Linked DNA regions of Astyanax mexicanus. The protein of the gene in region 1 interacts with the protein of each later gene in a pairwise test. Links are inferred from orthologs where the notes say so. Each region holds a gene or a part of one and is shown on either strand. Other genes may lie near its edges. The genes, in order: vps33b and vipas39.

Evidence for each region.
Region 2: the proteins of vps33b (region 1) and vipas39 interact in binary tests that used the Homo sapiens proteins (3 or more experiments, as listed by UniProt). The link is inferred for Astyanax mexicanus from reciprocal best matches to the Homo sapiens genes VPS33B and VIPAS39.

The regions. Positions count from the first base shown.
Region 1 is NC_064430.1:133,274-144,698, forward strand, and holds the start of vps33b (vacuolar protein sorting-associated protein 33B), read left to right. Parts: upstream 1-6,664; 5' UTR 6,665-6,791; exon of another isoform or gene 6,792-6,805; intron 6,806-7,305; 5' UTR 7,306-7,341; coding exon 7,342-7,437; intron 7,438-8,467; coding exon 8,468-8,548; intron 8,549-9,170; coding exon 9,171-9,232; intron 9,233-9,307; coding exon 9,308-9,357; intron 9,358-9,460; coding exon 9,461-9,528; intron 9,529-9,930; coding exon 9,931-9,976; intron 9,977-10,068; coding exon 10,069-10,163; intron 10,164-10,774; coding exon 10,775-10,879; intron 10,880-11,327; coding exon 11,328-11,418; intron 11,419-11,425. Other genes in the region: mfap1 (microfibrillar-associated protein 1), read right to left, coding at 183-399, 2,179-2,260; hddc3 (guanosine-3',5'-bis(diphosphate) 3'-pyrophosphohydrolase MESH1), read right to left, coding at 3,545-3,675, 4,117-4,357, 4,583-4,638, 5,254-5,365. UniProt on the Homo sapiens protein: May play a role in vesicle-mediated protein trafficking to lysosomal compartments and in membrane docking/fusion reactions of late endosomes/lysosomes.
Region 2 is NC_064408.1:71,537,985-71,549,337, forward strand, and holds the start of vipas39 (spermatogenesis-defective protein 39 homolog), read left to right. Parts: upstream 1-5,977; 5' UTR 5,978-6,078; intron 6,079-6,505; coding exon 6,506-6,598; intron 6,599-9,316; coding exon 9,317-9,416; intron 9,417-9,926; coding exon 9,927-10,058; intron 10,059-10,159; coding exon 10,160-10,192; intron 10,193-10,282; coding exon 10,283-10,347; intron 10,348-10,431; coding exon 10,432-10,488; intron 10,489-11,353. Other genes in the region: cdc42bpb (serine/threonine-protein kinase MRCK beta), read left to right, coding at 335-455, 557-674, 1,143-1,337, 3,164-3,272, 3,375-3,445, 3,717-3,845.

The DNA.
Region 1 (11,425 bases):
TTTATTGCTCATAATTTGTCAAACCATCAGCATCTGTGAAATTAAAAGACCTGAAAAAAACGCTGATCTGCTGATCGGGATCAGAGTCTGATTGCGCAGCAGAAAATGATTTTAAAATCTTAAGATTGAATCTTTTCTGAATCAAAAGCTTCACTTCTTCCGTCACTAAACGTTACACTCACCTTTCCTCAACATCTTCTGATACACGGTTCTGGAGCCGCCGAAGACGAGGGTCCGACACTTCCTCCTCCTCCATTTCCATTTCCTGTTCCGCCTCTTTTCCCTTCTTAACGAACTGGAAATCTTCCTCCTCTTCGTCTGACGATTCCATCGGAGCGTAATCAGGACGCTTCCCCGAAACGTAGCGCTTCACCTTCACCTTCTCCATAGAGATCTCACCTGGAGGAACACAGAGGAACATTAAACACAAAGCTAAACATCTTTAAAGCTCTATATTATATATTACTTTATATAAAAAGCTTAATGAGTAAAGCCGGCCAATATAACTATATTAATGTCTACTGCAGTAAACTCTGTATATTTCATAAAACGCTTTATTGTGTAAATCTTATATTCGGCACTAAAAACACACTAAACAAGTGCTTGTTTAAGATTTTTACCCAAATATTAAATATAAGCTAAATGGATTTAATCAGTGCAGGGTGTGAACAAAACTGTCAGGACTAAATAAGATTATAATGTAAAACAGTCTCTAGCAGTGATGCGTTCACCCTGACATTTTTATCCCCCTTTTCATTTGATACAGTGTAAAGTATTTAGTGTACAGCTACAACATAAACATTGTACATTTACTGTTCCCTCAAAATAACTTAAAACACACATTAATGTCTAAACAGTGCAACAAAAGTGATACAGCCCACAGTGAACACGGCCAAACTGTACCTAATTATCAATTTTCCCTCCCCGAGGTCATGTGACTCGTTAGTGTTAGAAGGTCTCAGGTGTGAATGAGGAGCAGGTCTGTTTTAGGTTAAATTCCCTCAGACTGACCACTGGATATTCTACATGCCACCTCATGGTAAAGAACTGTCTGAGGATGTGTAGCTCTGCATAAAGATGGTCTATTCTATAAAAAGATTTCTAACACCCTGAAACTGAGATACAGCAGTTTTCCAGGACGGGTTCCACTCAGAACAGACCTCTCCAGGGTTCACCAGAGAAGCTGGGTCCTCGTGTTCAGTGTAATATTCAGAGGTTGGCTCATAAAAACATTAATAGCTGTACTGAGTGCTGCCAGTTTTGCTGCAGAGGTTGAAGAGGTTTGAGGTCAGCCTGCAGTGTTCAGACCATACACCACACACTCCATCAACTCTGTCTGCATGGCTCTGTCCTAGAAGGAGGACTCTCCTGAAGCTGATGCACAGGTAAGGTGATGGTAAAGGTGAAGGACTGGCCAAGTATGCCTACAGACCTAACGCCTACTGAACATCTGTGGGGCATCCTTTAACTGGAACCTGGAGGTCTCAAACATCCACCTATCAGATCACTGATGTCGTCATAGAAGAGGATTTCAGTGGAAACCCGTGGCGCTCTAGTGAACTCACGTTCAGGTGAGTTAAAGGTCTGCTGAATAATATCTGTGATTTAAAAAAATATTATATACGCTTTGGGCACAATTGGTTTATTTTCACTAAGGAGTATCCTCATCATTTAGACACTAATGTGTGTGTTGAGTTATTTTGAGGGAACAGAAAATTGACACTGTTATACTGAAGTTGTACACTGATTACTTTACACTGTATCAGAGAGTCTCATCTTCTGTTTCTCAAGAAAACATATAAAATATTTACAGTAGTATGAGTTTATTCACTTCTGTGAGCCACTGGACAGTATATGATTAAGGATATTTATACTGTATTGTGACAATTTCAAACACTAATCTTTACAGTTTATGGATTAAAGCTGTTTAATTTATAACATATATAAATAATTTACCCATAACATACATACATTTAACATATGTAAATATAGCACATATTAACAAATTAATTATTAAACTACTTAATTAAACCTAGAATACAGTCAAACAATACAACTACTGACATAAAGGGATTTTAAACCGATGTATAACCCGTGATTAGGGTTTAAACTGAATTTTAAACCGGTTTATTGTGATTGCGCTGTTAGCTTTAGCCCTGATGCTAATGTTAGTATTACCTTTCTCGTTGCGGATCGGAACCGCCCCGGCGGTGGACTGGATCGGCGGCTGCTTCATGTTCAGCGCGTTCTGAGCGGACATTCTGAATCCGGTTAATAAACAGATTAATAGTAATAATATTAATATAAATGTTTATTAATCCGCCGCGGCTCCTGGTTACTCTCCTCTACACACCGCGGGCGGGTACAGCTCTTATATCCGCTCCGACTGGAAACAAAACCCGAACCCTGCAGTTCCTCCCGCTGCTTCTCTCAGGTTTATGGGGGGCGGATCCGCTAAAGGTGCAGTACCGCCCCCTGCTGATCCACAGGCATAGTGAGCTACAGTGTGACGTCATCATAAAGAAAAAAAAAACTTCCAAACAAAAGCAGAAGAACCGGTTTATTCACTTCACCCAGAACTCCTTCAGTCTCTACTGTGACTCTGAGCTGGAAGTGTATTTATACATTAAACTTGAGTCTTTTTACAGTGAGTTCACTCTGATCATCCTCCACCCTCACCCACCTCCACCCTCAACCCTCTCCACCCTCACCCACCTCCACCCTCTCCACCCTCACCCACCTCCACCCTCACCCACCTCCACCATCTCCACCATCTCCACCCTCACCCACCTCCACCCTCACCCACCTCCACCATCACCCACCTCCACCCTCTCCACCCTCACCCACCTCCACCCTCACCCACCTCCACCATCTCCACCCTCACCCACCTCCACCCTCTCTACCCTCGCTGAGCTCTTTTAGTTCAGAACTTTCAGATATGTTTCACCCTGAAACTCCAACAATCTGACACCAAACAAAACCTGCAAGTCCACTAAATGTACATATAAAAAAAATTACTTTTTTTCCACTGATGTAATTATTAAAATCTTTATTTCCTGGATATCAGCAGGATTTACAGAGTAAATTATAACACATATTATTACATTTCTAAGTACAGTACAGTACACGGTCTGGACTTTACAGCAATAAAGAGAAGAGAAGTGAGAGCCCTGAGAACAGTATAGAGTATAGAGTGTAAAGTAAAGTAAAGAGTAGAGTAGAGTATAGAGTAGAGTAGAGTATAGAGTAAAGAGTATAGAGTAGAGTATAGAGTAGAGTATAGAGTAGAGTATAGAGTAAAGAGTATAGAGTAGAGTATAGAGTAGAGTAGAGTAGAGTATAGAGTAGAGTAGAGTAGAGTATAGAGTAGAGTAGAGTATAGAGTAGAGTAGAGTATAGAGTAAAGAGTATAGAGTAGAGTATAGAGTAGAGTAGAGTATAGAGTAGAGTATAGAGTAGAGTATAGAGTAGAGTAGAGTATAGAGTAGAGTATAGAGTAAAGAGTATAGAGTAGAGTATAGATGAGTACAGGGGTGAATTAGAGTTAGATCTTGACGCCTCTCTCAGTGAAGAGCTGCTGCAGTTTTTCCTCCAGAACCGGATTCGTCCCACGCAGTCCTTTCACCACCTGCCCCGCCCACAGGAAGTACTCCTGAACCCGCTCAGCCGTCCAACCTGATACACACACACACACACACTTATAATTACACATCAATCAAGCAGAATATTATGACCACTGCAGTGATACTGAGGTGTTTAAAAACTCCAGCAGCACAGCTGTATCTGATCCACTTACTGTACCAGCTCAACACTCACTAACACCTCATACACCACCACCATGCTAATCACTGCAGTGCTGAGAATAACCAGCCAAATAATGATAATAATTACAACAATAATAATAATAATAATTATAATAATAATTACAATAATAATAATAATAATAATAATAATAGCTGCTCTGTGGTGGTTTTCTATGCTGTGGGTTCTGAATTAGGAGGAGAATAATAAAGATAAATACAGAGAAACACAAACAGTCTGTAATTATTATAGAACTACTGAATAAATAAAGGAATAAAGGGTTTTGGGGTTGGGGTGAGGGTTGGGGTTGGGTACCCTGTGGGGTGCAGCGGTTCAGGTCCCGCAGGTTGTAGAGTTTATCGGCGAGTTTGACGAGTTTGGCCTGGCGGCTGCAGTTCGGCGCGTGTTCAACCTGCTGCCGCTTTCTCTCCAGTTTAGGAAGAGCTTTATTATCCGTCACTTCCTGAACGATCCTCGCCACCGTGCTCCCGAACGCCGCCTCCAGCTCCTCCAGCGTCGTCTCCGTGTCCTCCACCGTATCGTGAAGGAGCGCCGCCTGAATAACAGACCGTTCAGTTATTAATTAATATCTCATTTACCTGTCACTCTGTTTTGACTGGTACTGTATAATAATATATTTTAAGCAGTATATTACATGTGTTAATAATATATGTTTATATTACATATATAATCTTTTGGCCAAGTTGACCCAGTATACTGTAAAACGTTTTTGCTACATAACTTTGTTTTAATTTAACAACTTTAATCGATCAGGACTCGCCTGTAAAACTTCAATATCTGTGATTCCGCCTTCATGACTCAAAATCCGCGCCACCCCTGTAAAAAGATCAGAGTGTAGATTAAACGTATTTATACAAATTCAACAGACAACATCATTATTTCAGCATTAATCAGTGATTTATATAGAAATAAAGAGTTGGGAGTGATCTGGTTTAACATGACTAAAGTTTGGTTGAGGGGGATTATGATCATGGTGTGGGGTTGTTTTTCAGAAGTTAGGCTCCGCCCCTTAGTCCCAGTGAAAGAAATTCTTAATGTTTAAACAGACCAAGATATTTTAGATTTCATGCTCCCAACTTCCAGAGGAGGTTTGGGGACGACCCCTTCCTGTTCCAACATAACTGAGCACCATAAAGATCATAACTCCATAAAGACCTGGATGAGCTGGACAAACACTCTTCTGGAAGAATGGTGAAAAATTCCCATAAACACACAAACACACTCCTAAACCTTGTGGAAAGCCTTTCAGAAGAGCTGAAGCTGTAAAAGTTTAACTGAGTTTTACACTAATCTGTATCTCAGGATGTGAAAAGTGTAACTAACACTAAATCAAACTCTGATAAACTGTACTGTAGAGTAGTGTAATGTAATGTATTGATAACTTTATTATTAATTTTATTATGAGTTATTGTGTACGGGGTGGTGAGTTACCGATGGGGTGGTTGATGTACGGAGTTTGCTCCGGATCTTTACGGCGTTGATTACGATGTTTCTCCGCAGCGAAGTTTATCGTCTCCAACAGAATCACAGCGTCTGAACTCATTTCTACACTTAGAAATAAATAATATAAAATAAAACAATATTAAAACTTCAACATTTTTCAGACACTTTTTTTCTGTGAACAGTGACAGAATTTAATTCAGTTTACTGAGCTGAACAGCAGAACTCTGTGCTTCTTAACCTTTTCTATAAGAGTATTTTATTTATTTCAGCTTTAAAATGTTTTATTCTGTAACCCTGAATCAAATCTAATTTAATTTGGGTTTAATTTTTTGCATTTTAAACATCTTTATGTATCAGCCTTAACAAATATATACATTAAACACTAAGTTACATATTAGTATTGATCTCAGTATTGATCTCAGTATTGATCTCAGTAATCTCCACAGGTCAGTAAATCTCTACTTCTTTATACTGGATTTTAAATCATAGCTGAATTTACTGTAATGAGAAATACACTGCATTTCTACACGAGATCTGCTGTAGTTTTACTGCTTTAAACAAATATTAGTTCACAGACTTAACTATACAACTTGTGTTTAAACTGTTTTTAAAATAAACAATAAATCAATTTTACAGTTTAGTTAAAGGACTGATTTCTGTTTCTGAGCTCAGAAAGATAAATAACCCAGATTATCAGCGGTTAAACAGAATAAAAAGCGGTTTTTATTCTGCGGTTAAATCAGTTAAAAAATAAAAGTGTGTAAAATAATAAAATAAATAAATCAGTTTAAATCTCGGAACCATTAACTATTATTACATGAGAAACTAGACCGAGAAATAAACTCAGTAAAATCACTCACCTGTTACAGATTATACTCCTGCTGTGATTCGGATTATTAAAGGTTTATTAAGTTTTATTTTATTAAGTTAAATCTGTGATTATTTTTAGCTCCTCTGAGGCGCTGCTGTTTCTGCTAAAGCTGATTTATAGCGAGACCGCTCACTTCCGGTATAACAGGAAATCCCTGCGCACCAATAGAGGGAGCCCGGGGGGGGGGTGTGAATAATTACTTAATTTATATAATTGTATACAGCAGAATAATGTACTTTACATCGTTACTGTATACTTTAGTTTATTTATGCAGTAAACAGGTTTTAGGCGCTGCAGTGCTGCTACTGTGAGCTGATTGATTAGTGAGCTGTTGCTCGAGTTGCAGTCAGAGCACCAATAAAAGACATAACCTTAAAAATTATGTTATCGATGCTGAAACTTGTGAAATTGTTCTGTGTTTCAGTATAAAAAATTTAAACTTTTATGAACTCTGTTTTTTGCTCAGTTGACCCATAATAATCTATTAATATCGGACTCCCTCAGGAGCGCCCTCTAGTGTCAGACAGACCCTGAACACTCCGCAGTGACTCCTCTCCTCGCTATAGGATCTCTGTTCTGCAGTGTGCGCCGCTGTAACGGGTCCGTGCGGAAACAAACTGCTCTGAATTCCATTTCTTCCGGAAACGGGGAGGAGGTGAGGCAGCTGCTGTATGTTATGTATAATATTTTAGATTTAATATTTTAGATTTATTAGGATTTAAAAGCTTCAGATAATTACATTTACATATAATATCTTTCATCAGATGGATAATGTGATTAATTATGGATAAAATCGAGAAAATGTTCCAAAAAATCCGGATATGCCGCTAAATCCATCTGTCAGTTTCTGCAGTAAAGAGAGATGTTTATATTTCTGTGTTTGTCTTAATTTTTATATTATTATGAGTCTCGCGCTTTAGCACTGCTGTGTTCTGTCTGTGAGCCGTTAAATTACATTTGTGTAAATGCTGTCTTGATGTAATTGATGTAATTGATGTTGTTGATGTAATTGATGTTATTGATGTAATTGATGTTGTTGATGTAATTTATGTAATTACTGTTATTGATGTAACTATGTAATTACTGTTATTGATGTAATTGATGTAATTACTGTTATTGATGTGATTATGTTGTTGATGTAATTGATGTAATTGATGTATGTAATGCAGGCGGCTGCAGTGAGGGGGCGCTGTGCTGGATGTCTGATGGCTCAGTCAGGGAGGAGAGACGCTCCGGAGCTTCCGGACTTTTCCCTGCTGAAGAGACTGGCCCGGGACCAGCTCATCTACCTGCTGGAACAGGTAACCAGTATAACCAGTATAAACCCAGTATAACCAGTTTAAACCCAGTATAACCAGTTTAAACCCAGTATAACCAGTATAACCAGTATAAACCCAGTATAACCAGTATAACCAGTATAACCAGTTTAAACCCAGTATAACCAGTATAACCAGTTTAAACCCAGTATAACCAGTATAACCAGTATAACCAGTTTAAACCCAGTATAACCAGTTTAAACCCAGTATAACCAGTTTAAACCCAGTATAACCAGTTTAAACCCAGTATAACCAGTATAAACCCAGTATAACCAGTTTAAACCCAGTATAACCAGTTTAAACCCAGTATAACCAGTTTAAACCCAGTATAACCAGTTTAAACCCAGTATAACCAGTTTAAACCCAGTATAACCAGTATAAACCCAGTATAACCAGTTTAAACCCAGTATAACCAGTTTAAACCCAGTATAACCAGTTTAAACCCAGTATAACCAGTTTAAACCCAGTATAACCAGTATAACCAGTTTAAACCCAGTATAACCAGTTTAAACCCAGTATAACCAGTATAAACCCAGTATAACCAGTTTAAACCCAGTATAACCAGTTTAAACCCAGTATAACCAGTTTAAACCCAGTATAACCAGTTTAAACCCAATATAAACCCAGTATAACCAGTTTAAACCCAGTATAACCAGTATAAACCCAGTATAACCAGTTTAAACCCAGTATAACCAGTATAACCAGTTTAAACCCAGTATAACCAGTTTAAACCCAGTATAACCAGTTTAAACCCAGTATAACCAGTTTAAACCCAATATAAACCCAGTATAACCAGTATAAACCCAGTATAACCAGTTTAAACCCAGTATAACCAGTTTAAACCCAGTATAACCAGTATAAACCCAGTATAACCAGTATAGCTGTGGGCAGTGCTGATGGTGCTGTGGCCGGAGTTGTGGGCGGTGCTGGTGATGATGTGGGCGGAGCTGTGGGCGGTGCTAATGGTGCTGTGGGCGGGGCGGTGGGTGGAGCTGATGGTGTGTTTGTTTTATAGCTGCCTGGGAGGAAGGACTTGTTTATCGATGCTGATCTGATGAGTCCACTCGACCGAATAGCCAACGTCACCACGCTAAAGGTAAACACACCATCACCAATACTCAACCCCTCAATACTCAACCCCTCAATACTCAACCCCATCAATACTCAACCCCTACAATACTCAACCTCCTCAATACTCAACCCCTCAGTACTCAACCCCTCAATACTTAACCCCTCAATACTCAACCACTCAATACTCAATCCACTCAATACACAACCCCCTCAATACTCAACACACTCAATACTCAACCCCATTATACTCAACCCCTCAATACTCAACCCCTCAATACTCAACCCACTCAATAATCAACCCCTTAATACTCAACCCCTCAATAATCAACCCACTCAATACTCAACCCCTCAGTACTCAACCCCTCAATACTTAACCCCTCAATACTCAACCACTCAATACTCAATCCACTCAATACACAACCCCCTCAATACTCAACCCACTCAATACTCAACCCCATTATAATCAACCCCTCAATACTCAACCCCCCAATACTCAACCCCCCAATACGCAACCCCCCAATACTCAACCCCCCAATACGCAACCCCTCAATACTCAACCCCTCAATACTCAACCCCCTACTCATACAGGTTCAGTACAGTTCAGGGGGCGGAGTTTAAATCATTACATTTGTCTTTTTCTTTTTCAGCAACATGAAGTGGATAAATTATATAAAGTGGAGCTGAAGCCGATCGTCAGCACTGCAGATCAGTGAGTTTAATTCTGCATTTTAAAGAATAAATTCATTAATATCTGATTTATTAATACAGTATTTTCTGTTTTTAGGCTCTGCTTTTTGATACGACCTCGGATACAGACAGTAAAATGGATCTCAGGTTTGATCTGAATTCACTTTAAACAGCAGTTCTGTAGAGATAAATAAACATTAGCAGTAATATTAATATTAATATTATTACTATTTAATTTGAATGTTTGCAGATGTAGTTAACCTGGATAAGGCAGCTGGAAGATTGAGAAGATATAAGATCATATTTACCCCTCAGAAGGTAAGAGATAATATTTCATATCTTATATTTATAATTTAGGGCTTATAATTCAATATAACACAGTATAATGAGATACTGTAATCAGGGGGATTGTTTAATGTTAGCTGAAATGTAGAACAGTTATCTTAATTAAAAGTTGAGATTTTATCCAATTAGAATAGTGGGATCTAACCCCAGAGTGCAACACTAGTGGAGGCGGGGCTTAAACACAACACTAAACCCACTAAGAGAATTTATACAGTATAATGTTGCGCTGTTAGCTGCTGCAGCAGAACTGGTGTTTAGTGCTCTCCTCCGAGCGTGTTCACTGATGAAGCTGCAGTGATTGGTCACATGATCGCGGCTGGGATTAATCGTGTTAAGATGTGAAAATGGTGAATATTCTAATGTGATGTTCTGCAGTTCTACGTGTGTGAGGCGGTTCTGGAGGAGCAGGGGGTGTTCGGGGGTAAGTGCTCTAAATTCACCTCAGATGTACCCTCAAATAAACAGAAGATTAAACACTGAATTACTCGTTTTATTTGATGTTATTTTTTGCAGATGTGACGTGTGATGAATGGGCTTTTTATCTCCTCCCGCTGGATGATGACATCATAAGTCTGGAGCTTCCTGAGTTCTTCAGAGAGAATTTTCTGGTAATGTTTTACTGATGTCGGCTGATTGTGTTCAGTGGAGGTTCAGAGGTCAGGTTTTAAGGTTTTACATCATTATTTATCAAACTGTTTTTTACAAAGACTGTTCACAGCTTTAAATAATCTTTATTAAATAATCAGATTAAATACAGTAATAAAGCTGCTGAAACTAATTAAAATAATAAAAATGAGCTTAAATCAATGAATTATAAAAGTAGCACAGCCAGTGTTGTTTGGATTTTTTCCAGCGAACAATAAATAAATCAGCAAATATATATGTTTCAGATATCGACCAAATCTCAACATAAAAAAAACTGTATAATTCTGATATCATAATGCCCTCTCCTAATTATTAATTGACACGAGATAAATCATTAATAATCATTACAATAGTCATTATTTTTTTAACTAATGTCTCGATTCAAAATATCTTTTTGTGTTGTTTAATAGTTAATCAAATTACACATGATTTTGATTGTTGATCAGCTGTATAATATAATCTGTTTTGATTAAACACTCATCCTGTATTGAGGTATTATTGTGTATTGTTGTCAGTTGTTTTGTATTGTTGTTTATGGTTATGTATTATTGTGTGTGTGTGTGTGTGTGTGTAGGAGGGGGATCAGCGGTGGGTGGGCGCGGCCGGCGGTGCGTTACGGCTGATTCACTCTCTATACGGACCTTTCTCTAAGGTTTATGGGATTGGGCAGTGCGCCAAGGTGAGATCTAATATTATATTCAGTATATTCTGTATTTTGGGTGTTTCTCAGTGTAATCCGGGTCTGTGTAATCCAGGTCTGTGTAATCCTGGTTGGTGTAATCCGGGTCGGTGTAATCCGGGTGGTGTAATCCGGGTCGGTGTAATCCGGGTCGGTGTAATCCGGGTCGGTGTAATCCGGGTCGGTGTAATCCGGGTCTGTGTAATCCTGGTTGGTGTAATCCGGGTCGGTGTAATCCAGGTCGGTGTAATCCGGGTCGGTGTAATCCGGGTGGTGTAATCCGGGTCTGTGTAATCCTGGTTGCTGTAATCCGGGTCGGTGTAATCCGGGTCGGTGTAATCCGGGTGGTGTAATCCGGGTCGGTGTAATCCGGGTCGGTGTAATCCGGGTCGGTGTAATCCGGGTCTGTGTAATCCGGGTCGGTGTAATCTGGTGTAATCTGGTGTAGATGGTGTACGAGTCGTGGAGGGAGCAGGTGGAGGACGGAGAGCAGAAAACTCAGCAGCCTGAGATCGGAAACGTTTTCCTGATCGACAGAGGTCAGTC
Region 2 (11,353 bases), on another chromosome or scaffold:
AAGTATTGGGACATTTGCTAATTTTTTGTTTCTTCAGAAATTAAGGTTATTAAAAATTACATTTTAACTAGATCTTAGAGCATTGCTGTGAGGATTTGATTGCATTCAGCAATTAGCTCATTCAAAAAGCATCCAGAGCTTATTTGTTTGAGGCAAACAGTATTTCATTGTGATTTACAATGGTCTAAAAAAACAAAAGGTGTTTGTAAGTAACATTACTTTAGCATCCTCTTATAAACTGAAAAAAAGACAAACTTAATCTGAGTTGCCCCCATGGATCAAACGTTTCCTCATTTCTCTTTTCTGACTTTGTCTTACTTCATTGTGTGTACAGAAGGTTATGATCTGGCCATCCCTGAGACATCAGACAATAGTAAGAAACTCATGGTGAGAACACGCAGCAAAAGGAAATTCCTCTTCAAGGTGCCTGAGGAGGAGCGAATACAGCAGAGGCGGTAAGAGATCTGTCCCATCTTTTCACGTTAATGACCATGTTCTCATCATCTAGTCCTTTAGAGCCAGTGGTTGATTGGTTTCATTTCTGTCTATATAACAGGGAGATGCTGAGGGACCCAGAAATGAGGTCGAAGCTGATCTCTAATCCCACTAACTTCAACCACGTGGCCCACATGGGTCCAGGAGATGGGATGCAAGTCCTCATGGACCTGCCACTGGTAATGGCTTTATATTATGCTGGGTTAGATCACAGAAGAATTGCAGGATTTATTGTAAAACAGCAAAGAAGAAATTACTGCTAGTTTTTTTTTTTCAGTTTAGGTGAACTGAGAAGGTTCTGATGTTTCATCAGCACTCATTAGTGTTGACATATATAGTGCACATATATCTAAAATTGTAGCATTTTCTTCTGAGAGCCACATATTCTGCAATAGCTCTACAGTCCTAATTAGGCACGTTGGTACATTTAAAATTCCATCGAGACTTCTAGAGTCACTCTCACCTTCTCTTTCACTGCATTGTACAACTCATCCCTTCTCTGCTCACCTTCTCTTCTCTTTTCCGTTGAGTAGTAACTTCTACTTTTCACCCTCCAACCCTTTTCCTCCTTTCTTTTTCACCCCTCTTCTTCTCTCTTACCCCCTTTGTGGTTGTGGATTTACCCTGGTCTCTCGTTGCCACGGCAGCAGCCGAGCGAGACTCCTTCCCCCTCATCCTCTCGCCACCACGCCCTGATCTCTCCTCCAACCAACTTTGAGCACGTCTATCACATGAGTTCCGTCTCTGCCGGGCTTTATCTGCAGAAAGAGCCCTCCTCGCAGCAGAGCCTTCCACAGCTCTCCTCCTCTTCCTCCTCACCTTCCACCTCCTCCCTCGGAAGGGTAGGCTAGCACCCTTTTCCCTCTTTCCATCTGCTCTTTCTTTAAAATCTCCCCTCCCAAACTTTCTTTATTTTCTCTTTTCTGCTATCTCCCTGTTTTATCATCCCCTTTTCTCCTTTCCTTCTTGTTTAATTCCTCAAAGGTGTGGTAGGTCTGTGCATTTGCACGGTACAGGGAGTGTTACCATTCAACATACTGTACACAAGGTGGTAGATTGCAACTTTCTTTCAAATTAAACTGTCCTGTGTATCAAAAACACACCATCATGTGCGTAAAATCACTGTACAAAATCAGAACAATGGGATCTGAGGACACATGATTATTACAGAGTACAACCATGCTATCTAGTGGTCATGGTTTAAACACAACAGAAAATAAACCTCTAACAGGCACTAATCTTTACATGTTATTAATTGATAGAAATTGTGAATTGATACAGTTTTGCAAAACATAAAATATCACAACTCTTTTTCAGTATTCCACCCTTTTACACCCTTTCCACAGAGGCTAGTGTTGCTCAGTTCATGCTATAAATGGACCTTGTTAATCAGCTGAAAAGCAGGACAGAAATAAGGAGCCAATTTTCAATTTAAGCTTTCGCTTATATCGGACTTACTAGATAGACATGAGCTGTGACCCACCAGTCAGGTTGATATTGGACATACTAGACCAGATATCAGCCAGACATAAATTATTCACGTTAAGTACTCTTACTTAGGGTTTTACTTAGCGTATATTATAGTGTTCGTGTATGACCATTTCTATTGTACATTAACAAGTACATGATATATATTGCTGTACAATGCAGCAGTTTGACTTTCCTTGACGTTCCTTTAAGTTTTAAAGGTCACCTTCCGCGAAAATCCGATTTTTCTTGTTTTTTGTGGAATACAGTAGGTCTCTCCGAGTTGAATGTGTACACCTGCACATTAAACTGTTTTGCAGCCCCCATTGTCTGCAGGAGCTAAGCAAAGAAATCCCCCCTCCCCCCCTCCGAAAAACGGGTGAATTTTGAATTATCTTTCTGCCTACGTAGGCAGAAACTCACAGACCAGCCCACCTTGGCTCGAGAAACTCCCAGAGGCGGAGCTGAAGCGACGCAACATCACCGCTCATCAGTTAGGAGGTGGGAGGCAGTGAGCGGCAGAGCGGTGGAGGGGCGTCGCAGTGCTCCTAGCCAATCAGAGGAGAGATATTTGCATTCTGTTTGCATGTATGAATATTCATGAGCAAAGCTGGAATCCGGTCATTTTGGACACACCCCTAAAACAGTCCATTAGAAAAGAGCTATACAGAGACACCTGAGCACTTTTTTTTTACAAAAACGGCTCACATGTCATTCATTCATACTAGAGACCACAACTAGACATTTTAAAATGAAAGAAAAAAACGACGGAAGGTGACCTTTAAAGAAATGGCTTATTTCATATAGATCTTCATACACGCACTGCTGAGGAAAAAAAAATCTCTTAAAAAAGAAGCTATATTAAAAATGGAAAGAAGTTTTTGACATTTTGGGTGGTTTTAATGTATATATAATTTTGAATGTGTACAGTACTCTAAACTACAATCTGATATAATTATATTAAAGTATGAGGATTTATTCGGTTAATATTCTACAGCTAACTATTTGGTCATTCTGACTGATTTATAATTCAGCTTTTTACTAATGATTTGTTGCACTATGAAATTGAAATTGAAGACATGAAGTTGACTTATTAATGGTTAAAGATGTCTGAAACCATGCTGGTTTTAGGAGTAGAATAGGTAAGGGCTATGAAACTTTCCTCTGCATCTAATGCCGGTATTTGTGCTCACTGCTACAGAGTGTGATGCCCTCTTCTCAGGATGACTCAATTAAAGACAAGCCACGTCCCCTATCTAGTATTTCACGACAACAATGGAGTAAGACCCACATCACACGCACTGCCTCCGGTTAGTAATCTCTCACCATCCATGTTAGTACTTTTATGTGTCTTTTCTATTGAAAGGGTGTTTTCCTTAGTTATAGTTTATTGATCATGCTTGTATCTATAGGGGGTGGTGACTTTATTGGAGCTGGGTCATCTCGCAACATCTCAGATCCAGATCAGGACTTCGAGAGAGAGGTAAAAAAAAAGGCTGTTCTTTACTTGATTCATTGCTGCTTTTACAAGCTTTGATCATATGCTGACCTCGGGTACAGGAAAATGTTCCATTCCAGTTGTTTTTGGGTGCCCTTGTTTTATGTTCAGCAATAACTGCCCCAGTTCTCATTGTCAGAAGCACAGCAACAGTAAACCCTCAGGCTCTGTTGCACATTCACTATTTTGTAATTTCAGCCTTGCTTAGGATCACCTTTATCTAGTCTCATTTTTTCCTTCATGTCTTTCTCTGCAGCCTGACTCAGACTCCACCAAACACTCCACCCCTTCCAACAGCTCTAACCCCAGCAGTCCCCCCAGCCCCAACTCTCCGCATCGCAGCCAGCTCACCCTGGATGGTCTGGAGCATACTCTGGATGGCTGAGAACGAACATCACCCTGCTTCGGCGCACACCTTCACTTTTAATACACATTGCCCCCGCCCCCAGCTCTCCGCTCCGCTAGAATTTGCTACAAAGTGCCAACATTCGAACTCTCATCTCACAGTTCGTATCTCCACACACCTGCGCCACCTTTGCAGCCAAAACTCTCTGCTCTCCAGGCTGCTTGCCAAGAGAATTATAAAACATACCCTGGATGGAACTGGGATACTGAACCGCTGTCGGAAAAACTTCTGTGATGTGTTCCTAGTGGAGTGTGATGTCTGGCTCATGCCGGCCAGTATGAGAATCAAAGCTCCAGCCAAGTATGGCCTCTGGATGCATATAATGACTGCCCCCTGCTGGAGCCTAGGTGGTAGTGTAGCTAACAGGGTCTAATAATCATCAGTATGTTTTTTCTTTTTCTTTTTTAATCTCAATGCCATACTCTTGTGAGGGTTGTTTTTTTTAACTCATTAGAAATCATGCAAATAAAAATGCCAGAAAATGCTGTTAAAATGACAAGTGAGGGGAAAACTGGCTTTCCTCTTTTAAGTGTGTAATAATTTGGTGGTTGTGTTCATCACTCATCATGTGGGATAGGAGGACCTGGAGACACCCTTCCCTCAGATAATACAGCTGGACCAGTAATGAAAACCCGTTTTGCTATTCTGTATTAGCGACACTTCTCTACGTAGTTGTGTCAGAGCAGTCACAAAGAGGCATTGACACTTATCCGACTGGGGATTTTAAGCCAAACCGGTGGGCACTTTTATTGTAATGTAAATCTTTTTGTTTTGTTTGTTTTTTTCCTTCCCCAGTCTGCATTTTTTTCAGGCATCCTTTGTAATATTCATGTTTTAACTTAGACGTTTGAGACAAACAAATACTTAGCTGATGGAACACTGCTCATTTCCATAAAGAAGTAAAGAAACTGAAGTAAAGAGAAATAAGACTTTACGTATAGTAAGTGTTTTAACAAGAGTAATGGCACACTGCTAAAGGACCACACTATTCATAGGATTTCAATAGTTCTTCTGAAACTGCTGCTGCTTTTGTGTGCTAATGTAAAGAAATAAATATGTGATTTAAGATTCTCACCATAGCCGTGTTCGATCCCTAGGTTTTACATTGTTGCATTAAAGGAGCAACTACAGGTTATCCTTCATGAGTTTCTGGAACGTAGACAGTATCATTTAATGTGGCGCTCTCACGTATGTGGTGGAATCAAAGCACCACACCACCACAACGAGAGCTGCGGGCATGACCGTCATATCCATTCTCTCACTAGCGTGCCTTCAGTGCCATTCTGTGTTACAGCAACACATTGTCCGCTAAAGCATTTCAGTTGTTTTTAACAAGACAGGCTAATGGTGATGTTTTATTTTGTGTTCCCCTCCCCTCACCCTGAAACACTGTATGAAACTTGCACATGAACATGTTTTAGTCCGAGGAAATTTCTTTTGATTTTGTCGATGGTATTCCTGTCTTTTCCCTGTGCCCCTCCTCCCTCCCTCTCTCCCCTCCACTTGACTTTTCAGCTTCTTAAAAATGGGACTTTATTCTCAGAACACTACTGCTTTTACTTCACAAGAAAACAAATCACATGTTGAAATCTTTGTAATTATTGAATTGTTAGCCTCATAAATTTGAACAAACAATAAAAAGAGTATCTGTTGTGCTTTTTTTTTTGTCAAACTGGTGTGTATTATGGAAGCAAGTTGGAGCTGCAGCTGGACATTAAATGAATCGGTTATTTTCCATTATTCATTCACAAGCATTACCTGCCTAATTCAGAATACTAAAATAGCATATGATTATTTTACGTGTCGGTTGACACTAGGCTTGGTAGCTAGCTAGGTTAGGAGTCTGAGGTCTGCTGTACTGGGGGATTCTTGAAACCAGAGGAGATTAGTATAAGAGTATTTCCTTGCCACAGTGGCCACCATCCCCGTCTCACTGTTACCAATATCACTGTGGTGTTAATCAGAGGCTTGGACCCGTAACTCGGTAGAGCAGCCTTTATTTGACATTTGTTGTGTAAAAAATAATAAAAAAATGTTAATGTAGGTTGTAAAAATGTGTAACATAAATTTAAAATAACTCTAAATGTCTCACATCGATTTAAATATTACATTTCATTTTCAGACTTTTATTTTGGAGGGTGTCTGAGCCAACGCTGCCCGGAAGTGATCAGCTGACGTTTCATGGTTTTGATTAGGCTGCAAAATCTCGAAGGTAACTTACATGAGATTTCTGTTTTTAAGCGCTTGCTTTCTCAGTCTGATCTGAGTGTATAAGACTTGTGTGTGTTCATACGGCTGTAGTTATGTATTTCTGTGATAATACAGTAGTTGTATAAAGGCGCGGCTGTGTTCTGTGAGCGCTGGAGGGCTGTGTTAGTCCAGACTGACAGCTGGGAGCGGAGAGACCGCGCCGGGGTTAAAAAGATACAGAAATAGACACTAATAAACACAGAGAGATATTAATACATACTGTACTTAGTGAACCCCGCTGTTTAATCTCTGTTAGACTGTCTGAATTAGCCGGTTTTAATCATTAAAGTGGAGGCGAGACCTCAGTATAATGTAAACAGTGTTCAGCTCAGCAGCGCCTTCTCCTGTGTTCTCCTCTCTGTTCACTGTGTCTGTGTATATCGGTCTAGATGAGCAGAGCCAAGCCAGAGGACGATGAGTACTGGAACAGCTCCAAGTTCAGCGCCTTCACCTTCGATGATGAAGATGATGAGTTCACTAAGGTGAGCTTTAGTAACTGACTGGTTAATCAGCTCCTGCGCTCCACCTTAAATCATACAGCAGATATACCTAGATAACTAACTTACCAACACTGGCGAAGCCTCGTGATGATCCGGGACAGTTTTACATATTAATAAGCTTGTGTTTTTTATTTTATTCAACCTAGTGCTGGGTAGTATATCGCTTCATCCGATATTAATACCGGTTTTAATATCCTTTACGCTGTTATTTTTTTACGTACCGCTAGAGGCGCTACAGAGCACTGCATAGAAAAGCACTGCCGAAAAACACACTGCTAAGCTAAGAAAAAAGTTCCTTTCGTCCCCCCAGACAAGCCCAGAATTATGGAAGCCCATTTCCGCCACCTGAAGAAAAAAAAAACGTCCTCAACTAAGTCTTACTATCCCATAATTATGACTTTTCTATCTCATAATTATGACTTAGTTGAGGACGTTTTTTTTTCTTCAGGTGGCGGAAATGGGCTTCCATACAGAATCATTTATTCAGCACAAGAAAAAAAAATCCCTAAAACTCTGGATACAAGGTAAAGATAAACTAGACCAATAACTATAGCCCCTTTTGAATATATTAATTCTGTAGCTTAAAGGATAATATTAATGCACAGTGAACCGTATTTATTTGTTAACTGGAGAACCAAGAGAATTATAATAACCTGATAAACAGCAGCGTAAATACTGTAATGCTTCTAATGGCTTCAGTAATAACATATTGTAATATTGTAATTGATATTAAACCTGTGTCTTACTTGTGTATTAAAAAATGTAAGAAATATCTCTTTGAACACTTATATTTTAAGTGTTTCAATTCCATTAAAAGTGTTTATGGAACTATTTAAAATATTAAGTTTTGATAAAAAAAAAAAAAGATGTGTTTAAGTTGTTGGTGTATCTCATTTTAAGGCCCATTGTTTACATTCTTTAGCTGTTTTTTCTGCTAATGCAGTCTGATTACTTCATATATTGTTTACTTTTTTACATTACATTTGACAGATGCTTTTGTCCATAGCAACTTTCAATAATGATGTACATTTAGTAATAGGCAAGTTTAAGGTAAAAAAAAAAAAAAAAACATTTTTAGGTTGGGCCTAAAGGAGGTCAAAGGGAAGTAGTGGGATTGAGGAGGAAAAGAGGGTAAGAAGGAAATGAGGTTAGAAGTAGTTAGTTGTTAATGTTTGTTAGCCTTAATGTTTTAAACAGTACAGTCACAACCTTATATTAAAGTCAGTGTTAAAAATATAAATAAATAATTAAAAAAATGTCGTGCTATACTGTGAAACCATCAGAATATTGAAAATATGATTTTTTTTTTGGTCATACCACCCATAAACCATAGTTCTGATATGACTGCTAAAACAAACTTTTAAAATACAAGTTATAATATTGTGTCATTTACCTTTGTTAAATCAAGATTTGAACCTTAAAATATTTCCAGTCATGTGCTCAGAAAAAGAAAAAACATGAATGAGCTGCTCACTTTATTTATTAAATTGTAAGTTTTACATCAATATTCAAAAATGTGTCTGGGCTCTCATGAGTTAATGTTTGGACAGCCTTTGTGTTCCCTGTAAAAATGTGAACAATATAAAACTGCCTGGCCTGCGTGATCATGTGGTGCTCACATGGGTGGAACATGGGCAGATCATGGGTTAGGTGGGTCTAAGGGTGAGTCTGTGTATCTGTTGTTACTGAACCCCCATCCTTACAGCCCACCTTAATATCTATTGGGTCTAAACTAGGCTTCATGTAAATTTTGTAACCTAAATGTATAACCTATTTTTTTAAACTCTCAGTTGGCCTACCTATACAGTCCCCACAGGGGCATGCTTTTGTGTTCTCTCTCACACATTTGTGAAAGCTATGATTACCCCTCTAAAGCTAAGGCAAAAACACTTTTTTTATGAATACAGTTTTCCACTCAGTTAGTGAGAAATTTTAGAGAGACTAGAAGCAGCATTTACAGCCCCCAGGAACAAAATAGACAAAAGGAAAAGGTGAACATGGAATTTACTGAGATTATAAATACAGTGCATACATTTGCAACATGTCTACCATGTACTGTCTAACTTGTCAATGAAGAAACATAAAATCTCTCCACATTTCATGGATTATAAACTTTTTAAATATTATTAGTAGTAATAATACTATAACTATAATTAATTGTTTATTTTATTCTGCTGCCGATTTTGTATGACGTGTCTTATTTGTTTTTGGTTTTAATGAATGAAACATATAATATAATAGGATTATGTCTAGATTTTTTTACAGATAAAATGAATAGGATGCAAAGGTTTGTAAGCCCTTCTTGTTTGCTGATGCAAGTACACAACATGTAAACATATTTCCATCCTAAACCAATAGAAGTCAAGATCACTATTCGTCTCTACTACAGGAATGTCCAGAAAGGCCACAAATTATATATTTTTCCTGTACTGTTTTCTTGTCATCAAACCTTAAGTTCATGACTTCATCTCAAAATAAATTGTTATAATCTTGATCAGAAAAAAAATGTTTTTTTTAGGAACCAACTTTAATTTAGAGCAGACAAAAGTACCACAGAATAATGGTATAGAAAAATGATTCAAGTAAGTTTTATAAACTTCCAAAACATCACAGTGATCAAAGGTTTTTTATATTAAAAAAAATGTTGTAAACCACAACATTGGAAAATGGGAATTCTGCTTTGTTTTCTTGTTTACTCAGATGAAAGAATCAAAGCGTGCCGTGAACAGCATTCTTGTTGATGATGATGACGACGACGATGATGTTGAGAAGGTCAGCTGGAGTGGGGAGCCTATTGGAAGTAAGCCAAATCTCACTCCCTGTTTTTTTTTTTTTTTTTTTTTGCCTCTTTTATAATATACACCAAGGGTGCTCATCCCTGGTCCTGGAGATTTACCAGCCTGCACTATTCAGTTTCAACATACTGGCTGTAATATGCAATAAAGTATTCATCATCTGGGTCAGCTGTGGACCAGGAATGAGCACACCTGCTATAAAAATGTCTGCAGGTATCCAGACATGTCTGTTCTGGCTTTGCTGGTAATTAAGAGTTTAATCATCAGAACGTTACCTCACTAAAGCTGTAGTGGCTGAATGCAGTCAAGTCCTCACAGCAATGTTTCAGCATCTACTGTAAAGCCTCCACAGATATGTAGAAACTACCAAACACAAAAGGAGCACAAAGTTGTTCCTGTTACCTTTAATTTCTGAAGAAACATTGAATGGGCACATACCTATGAGTGTACGGCCATTTAGCATGTACCTTTTGTTATATTGGGACTTTACACAGGGATTTACTGTTGTTTTGCAGGTATCTCCTGGTCAGTCAAAGAGACGGCTTCCAGCTTTCGTTCCAGTGGGGAACAGAGCTTTCCAAAAATCGACACTGCCCCCTCGTTGCCTAAACAGGGTTCTGGTTACTCCTTAAGTTCCTTGTTCAAAGGTACTCAATAGATCATTATGTATTGATTGGAGTAAACTAACCTGTGTGTGTTTTTCTCCATGTGTGGCTTTTTTTCTAACTCATTGCTTTTCTTCCAATAGCAAAGAGCAAGCCCTTCCAGTCATTTTCGGAATGTGAGTTAACTTAAACCTGCATCATCAGAACTAAGTAAATTGTATTCATTATATTTTATATTGACCTGCTTCTGTTTCTGTGTCTCCTAGCTTTTACTGATACATCAACCAGAGCTTATGCACCAGAACTGCGCAAACCGAAGTCGGAGTGTAAGGTGTGTTCCCACTCTTTAATCTGCTTTAATCCAGATTGCAGTAGTGGAGATGTATTAACTGGCTTTTATTACGTGTAATTTCAGGATTATATGAGCGACTGGAGCCCTGAGGAGACAGTTCGACGGATGCGGAAAGGAAGGGTAATGGGTGGCCCAGGGCAAAATAATTATTTCTTGCATTACATTTGACTCTAGGTTAAGTCTAAACCCTAAAGAAAACCAAAAGCTTATTCTATCGGCTCTCTTTTTGTTCAACCTCAAAACAACTAGGGTGCATCCCAATTGCATATTAATTACTAACACAAACTAGTTTTTAAAGATGAATATGGTATGGATAAAGCTATTATATATACATAATACATAGTCAGACCCATCTGTTTTTTTAGTGTGGTCACGATGCACAGTGCTATGAAAACAAAAAAAATAATGTCAATGAAAGAGGCTTCGAGTGGTCCAGTGGTCATAGTGGGCTGCCACTATTATCGCAAGATTGTTGGTTTGAATCCCAGTTTTGCAGCTTTCCTGCGAACTCGCTGTCTACTCAGTAATGCTGCATAAGCATCAGTATGAAAAGAGGAGGTGGCTGACTTTACAAATTTATGTCCTTGTACTGAGGCATCACTAGTGATTGCAGATACACAACTGAGTAGCAGCTGAATGAGTGGGTCAATTGGCCTAGCTGTATTGGAGAGAAAATTGGAAGAAAATTCAAAATAAATGAAAATAATAAAAAAAAGAAAATGTAATGATGACAAATTCAGCAGCAATGGCAGCTGAAGAATTGCAGTGACATACAGTATGCTGACATAACAGTGGCATATCTTTTACTGTTGGTATAAAATGGGTTAGGGTGTTAATATTGTGTGCAGTATGAAGTTGCCAGAGCTGCACTACTGTAATTATTACACAGTATTTACACAGAAGTTATAGCCTGTGCTTTTTGATAGTAATGGAGTTACAAACAGATTTTATTATTGGCTTTTTATAGCCTAAACGTTTTAATTAA